Linked DNA regions of Drosophila melanogaster. The protein of the gene in region 2 interacts with the protein of the main gene of each other region in a pairwise test. Each region holds a gene or a part of one and is shown on either strand. Other genes may lie near its edges.

Region 1 (2,721 bases), 1.9 Mb from region 2:
TTATTGAGGCAAATATATATAAAAGAAAAAAAATAAATAAATAAGGTACATTTTGAACTTCACTATAAACAAAAGTCAACACGTCCTTAGTCTCTTAAATATGAATTCGACTTTAAAATCGAATAGTATTTGCAATCCACATCAGAAATAAAGTTCTCTTAATTCAGACTAACAAAAAAGATTGATGTTCTTATATATGCATTCACATAAGTTCGACATGGAAGAAAAAATAATCGGAAAATTGCCAAAGCTTCTTCCTTTTCAAAAAGTGTTCTGCATTTGTGTGGGTATAAACGTGTCCTTGTGAGTGTCTGCACTCATGCATAGAAATAAGCCGATAAAACCCTGACAATTGTGTCATGGAGTAGCGTTTTAGTTTTGGGATTGGACTTAATGCCTCTTGACTTCAATTTGCATAGTCGGCTTAGCAACGTTCGTGCAATGATTGAATGACAAATTGATAGAATTCGGCATTTACCAGTTGACAGCTAAGGAAGAGCTTTTTCCGGTCGGAGGAAACGGAAGAAAAGTTAAACCGATGATGGAGATTTCAGTTCAAATTCTGTTTGAGCATGATTTAATTATCGTGCCGGTTAAAAAGGACTTTTCATTTGCCTACAACAATGTTCACAACGAGTTGCGCCTTTTTAATTATAAAAATCAAAATTCATGAAAAGCTCTTAGAATATAGAGATATGATCTTTTAGTGTTTAAATCTCTTGAATGCGAGTATAACATAATATATATATAAATAGGCTTTTCATCATCACATATAGATGATTTAATCCTTCTTCTCCAACAAAATTTTAAGCCATTCCCAACAAAGTTGTTAAATTGTTAACAAAGCGAACATTTTCACTCAAAAAACGCCCCTATCGCATTGACTCTGACCTAGACCGCAAGCCGTTTAGATCCCGCAGGACTTCCCATTAATCCAATTAGGGCTGAACATATTTGCTTCTCATTAAAAATGAAATCCTTTGCTTTGGACCGGAATCAAGAGCTTTGACCAATTACCAAGCGTTTTTTCATTTACGTTCGCACATTCGAAATAAAAAATTAACCAGGAAGGTCGCAGATAAAGGCATTGACAGAGCAGCTTAGAAATCTCTTTGTCAGCAACTTAAATGAAAATTAAGACATCTGCTTTCATTTAGCTTAAGTGCTTATCTTGCGAAGGACGCAAAGGCAAAGGACACGTTTGCCCACAGGACAATCAATTATGAATGCAACACCGAGCACCATCAGCTTGGCAAAATAGTCTGTAATAAAAGTTAGGTTCATGAGGAGTGCGATGCTTTTGGGCGGCTAATGATGATAATTATATGTTTTAAGTGACATTGATTTGTCGCCTTCAGGATGGGCCGGGAAATTCCCATGATGTTTAATTCATTAGCCAGCTAATCGGCTTACTCTGATAATTAATATAATTGATGTCAGTCATCTTATTGTAGCGCCACCCAAGCAGGCTACTCATTCCCAGTTGCCTCTGTGTCATTTCTATGGATCTAAAATAGGTTTCCCAGTACTATTGACGCCCTGAAAGTAATCAGATATTCACACATAAAATAAATTCAAATAAAATCTGTATATTTTGTACGCTCACAATGAACATGAGGGGAATGGCCAAGCGTTCTATTTGGCTGCAATGTCTTCGGGAAAATGCCACCAATATGCGCCTGGAGCACGAGGATCTGGGACGTCGCATTGCTGTTTCTTTGGCCAGTTCCCAGAAAGCTCTAGTTGATATCGAAAACTTGAATCAAGAGCTGTTAAAAATGAAGGACACAATCCATAATGCCATTTCCAATGTTATGGGCTACGAAAAGAAGTGTTGTGAATTGCTCCTGGAAATTTTGATTAAAATAGTTGAGAACAACGACCTGGATGCCGAACTAAATCCCAAAATGATCTCCAAGGCGTTTCTCGACTTGGATCCGAGTTCCGACGAGACAGAAGTTCTGAATGACCGTAGTCTTGCAGCGTCTGATTTTAATCAGCAATATCCAAAAGATGTGCCGGATTCTATTGATATAAACATAACAGAAGACCAGTAACCATTTTAAATAGGATCCAAGACCGCACCAATTCGATTACTAACGTCTTAATTTAATGCGTTGTCAATTCCACCTCACACATTTAAAAGGAATAATAAGGTGGTCAGGGCTACAAATGTTTTATATTTTTTATCGATTCAATTAAATTTGCATGGTGAAATGACAAAACCCATTGTCTCTTTCTTCAGTTTATAGTTGTGGGAAAGTTTCTAAGACGTTCGAAATGTTAAAACCCTTGAAACGAAAAAACTTAGGATGACCATAAAAATACAAAATTATGAACAGAAAGAAAAGAGAAAAGCACGCCAACATCCGCACAAATTGTCCTGCAGAAAAGTCAAGACAAAATCACGTATACGCACTGTGACAACCCACAGCCTGGGTTAAAGACAATCCCAACTGGTAATCCAAGTCGTGTGCGTAGCCAGCATCCATGTTCCTAAACAATTTGTCGGCGATTTGTCGGCAAACTTGAGCCATATACGCCACACATACGCACCGAGTGAGCCATATTGCACATACGCCCCGTGTGACCCACAGAGGAATACAAAGAGTAACGAGGTTAAGTGACCCAACCAGCAAAACAACCTGTTGACTCAGGCTCTCTGCTCTCTCACTCAAAGCAAACTCACTCATCGGTGGGTTTGTTTTGCTCCGCTCTTTC
Region 2 (3,960 bases):
ACAAATCATAAACATTGTTTTTAAAAACAGGTAGACAATTTTTGTATGCCAGTACAAAACGAATATCTACAATAAAAACAAAAAATAAGCGGTTATGAATTTTTTAAAATGTGCTGGGAGTTTTTTAATTGTCATTATTTTTTGACCTGCACTGTGATCAGCTGATTTGTCGTTATATTTTGAGACATTTAGCGTGGTGCTTTGGCTCTTGGTGCTTTCTGCGTGTTTACCTTTGACAATGGCGCATTGTTAATAACTTTGGGGCTTGTTATTGTACTATTTACAAATGCGACCAAGCCCCGCATCAAAACGAAAACAATAACAACGAATTAGATGTTGTGGAAAACAGGTTAGTAACATGACGGAATTGTTTAGGCTTAACATACATATACATATATGTATATATAGGTAAATGGAAGGTATTTATTTGTTTTGAAGAGTTTATTTTCTTACCTTGCGATGACGTCCTTTGTAGACGACGGCAAAGGCGCCATGGCCCAGCATATCCTTGGAGCTGTATTCATATTCCCCGACAATATTCATTGCATGCGAAAAAGGAGGAGGATGCGACGCCTGGAAGTGCTGCTCTCTCCCACTCTCCCTCTCTCTCTCTCACAGTCGTACACCCCCTCGCGCTCCACACTCTCTTTCGCTCGTGCACGCACGCTTGCTCTCCCCTTTTATTTTCTTCGCTCTTCTGCTTTGCTTTTGCTTCCAATTGCAATTGTGGAAAATGGAAAATCAATTTCTTTCCCCTTTGGCCAGCCACTAAATGTGATTCTCTGGCCCTCGACGATCTCCGAAATTTTCACGTAACACCACCACCGTCTTTTCCGTCCACCTGGCCAGTTGACAATTATCGGGCACACACTCTAATTTCACTTGTAATTGAATTAAACCGTTCTTTTCCGTGTGCGATTATCTCGGTTTTCAGTGTGGTATTGCTTTTAATTTGCGGCCCCACACTCGCGTACAAACACACACTTGCAGGATCGATGGCACACACTCTCTCACATACACACGCACGCACACACGGACGATCAGCGTAATTTCCTTTCGGTTTTTGAAAAATGTAGCTTTTTGGTCCCAGCGAAAAACTTTGCAAAAGGTGATTTTTCCAACTACTTCGCGAGAGAGACTAGTGGAAAAGGCAAGACGAAAACACAACTAAGCGAAGTGGTGGGTTGGCCAGTGTGGCCGCAGGTGGCGAACCGCCAATACGCCCCCGCGCGAAAAATACCACTTTCTTTAAAATACCAATGGGTCTTAATTTTTTGATTATATTCTTTTAGTTTTATTTTTGGGCCCAAATTTTCGAGGATAATAGTTGAATATTGTCAAGCTAATACCTATTTCGCTATATTATTATTATTGTTAAAACTAATGATGAAGAATTGTAAACGTGAACCATTGTTTAAAAGTACCAAAACAAGCCAATTTACTTGGCTTTACTTTACTTTTCTTCTCTTTAATGAAGAAAAAGTCACAAAATTGGGACAAAGAGTTTACTTATGCCAATGCCTGCAGAGCCTTGCTGTATCATCAGTTTCTGGATGGAAATGGAGACAAAACACAATACCAATCTATTAAATGACAATAACTATCAATTAAATGACTAATATTGGCTGTACACCAAGTAACCTATCCCCAATACTATGAAGAGTAGGCATTCCTCCTGGGTTGAATTTAACAAACTTCTTTGGTGTCTATTTTAATGAAGAGAAATCAAAGTTTTGACGATATATACAAAACAATATGTGTTAACATTGCATTACTTAGTTAAAAATCTATAAATCAATGAAAATATTGAATGAATTCCTTAATTTTATGATATGTTGGAAATACTTGTATTACTAATATGATTTATAAAATTCGTGCTTAAAAACCTATCATCCTAAAATGACGGTTTAAGCGGATAAAAAATTGTTTTGGTATTTCCTTACTTGTGTAATTTCCGAGTATTTTTCTGAACACCTAGCGTTTAGTATTTCATAGATTACTTATTGTTTTCAATCTGGTAACACTACTTAATTGAGCCTTGTGAAAAGAAGAGCGGAAAACAAGAAAAACTTCTCGTATTAATAGGTGGCGCGGTAAAAATCATCAAGTCTAATTTGCTGCGCTTAATGTGTGCGACCAATTAGCATAAAAAGGCAAGTTTATCTAAGAAAAATTTCAAAGTACAGCCTTTCTCAGACTGTTTTCGTGTGCGTGCTTGTGGAGAGATTTTGTGGATACATAGTGCGCAGTGATAAGAAGAGAAAGAGCGGGTGGTGTAGAAGAGGCGAAAATCGTGTGAAACGTGGAACAGAAGTCTAATGCCAAAATCGTCTTTCAGATATCGCAAAATCAAAGCTGGAATAATGAGTGCGCCTAGTGAGGGTGGCGCGGGAGGAGGGCCGGTGGGCGGTGGAAGTACAGCTACAGCGCCATCAGGTAAGTCCACCGATATCCAAGTGGAATATTTATATATATTTATCCCCATACGTATATACGTATTAGCATTGTCCCCGTGTATGCGTATGTATACATAACATTTGTGCCCCTCTCTTTTGCTCTTGCATACGCGCACTGTTTGTTTCCTATTCCTCTTTGTGCCTCACATTCGCAGCAACGTCTGCGTTTGTATGCCTTTGTTTTGTTGTTACTGTGCATTCGTTTCAGGGTTGCCAACTGCCCACAAAATGTTCTTATTTAGCTTGATCTCAAAGATAATATATTTCCAGTTATTTATCTAATAAATTTACTTGTTTGGCTCTTAAAAAATAGAAACATACATCTTTTTAAAATTGTATATTTATATTATATTTAATTTTCATCAAAAGGAAACAAATATTATTATTAAATTTAAAAGCCAAACAAATAAACCAATGTTATATGTATGTAGCTCCCCAATTTCACTTGTCCGTCCATTGGTGTTCCATGTGGAGCTTTTAACCGAAATCTCACAGTAGCCACCCGCACAGCCCCCCTGAAAACCATTAAGATACGCACCCAACAACTGCACACCCATGCAGTGCCATCGTTGTCATTGCTGCCATCTATATATCCATCATCATCATCATCATCTCTGGCAGCCACTGGATCTTTATCCGCATCCGCATCCTTGGTATCGCACTCACATCCGCCCCTGCAGCTGCGCGGCGTCATAAACAAATACTCATTGCCATCCCATTTGCCATCCTCTGCAGCGCACCCGGCGGTGGCCGCCAAGATCACCCACGTGAAATCCGACGGCGGCGGTGGGATATCCATTGCGGGCACACCGATCCTCAGCGGAGGCACAATTAAGGTGGCGTCAGCCAATCAAGTTCAACAAACTTCCCTAGGTGGCACTCCAATTGCTCTGAATGCAGGACAAGCGACTACGGCAGCTTCGATCCGTGCTATTGGCGCTGGTGGTCAGTCCACACAGGTGCGGGTGGTGATGCCAATGATCAAGCAGCTAGAGAATGTTACGGCCACCGGAAGGACTCAGATAACAGCCATACCAGCTGCACCGGCGAGGAGTGGGGCGAATGCATCGATCACGGTTACCAGGCCCGTAACCCAGGCCACATACTTGCCGCGAGCCAGTGTGACGGCCACCCAAATGGGAGGCGTTGGCGTTGGAGTTGGCCAGCGGCTCGTCACGCCATTGAGAGCCACATCATCGGCCACGGTTACGCCCACAGCGCCAACAGTGCTGAGCTCAACCGGAGGATTCGTACGCGGAGCAACAGCATCGGTGAGCAGAAGTGGAGTGGCGCTCACATCGCAACCATCGTCGGCTGTCATCTCGTCCAGCAACAGTGGTGCTTGGATGCAGAGTCAGGGACAGGTGCAACTGATCCGAACCATTCATCAGCCGCGCCAGCGAATTATAACGACATCCGCGGGGGTTTCGAATGCCAGTGTAGTGACCACTACTCCAGTGCAGGCGCCAACAGGTATGTTGTATCTTTTCTTACTCTGCAACAT

The links. Proteins that work in one complex are often made in the same cells at the same time.
Region 1: the proteins of Sap130 (region 2) and CG13476 interact in a two-hybrid assay, tested with the Drosophila melanogaster proteins (one large-scale study listed by BioGRID).

The regions. Positions count from the first base shown.
Region 1 is NT_037436.4:14,703,937-14,706,657, forward strand, and holds CG13476 (uncharacterized protein), read left to right. Parts: upstream 1-1,527; 5' UTR 1,528-1,607; coding exon 1,608-2,057; 3' UTR 2,058-2,221; downstream 2,222-2,721.
Region 2 is NT_037436.4:12,803,902-12,807,861, forward strand, and holds the start of Sap130 (Sin3A-associated protein 130), read left to right. Parts: upstream 1-2,000; 5' UTR 2,001-2,153; intron 2,154-2,284; exon of another isoform or gene 2,285-2,338; 5' UTR 2,339-2,363; coding exon 2,364-2,436; intron 2,437-2,785; exon of another isoform or gene 2,786-2,966; coding exon 2,967-3,929; exon of another isoform or gene 3,930-3,960. Other genes in the region: Atg1 (Autophagy-related 1), read right to left, coding at 454-543.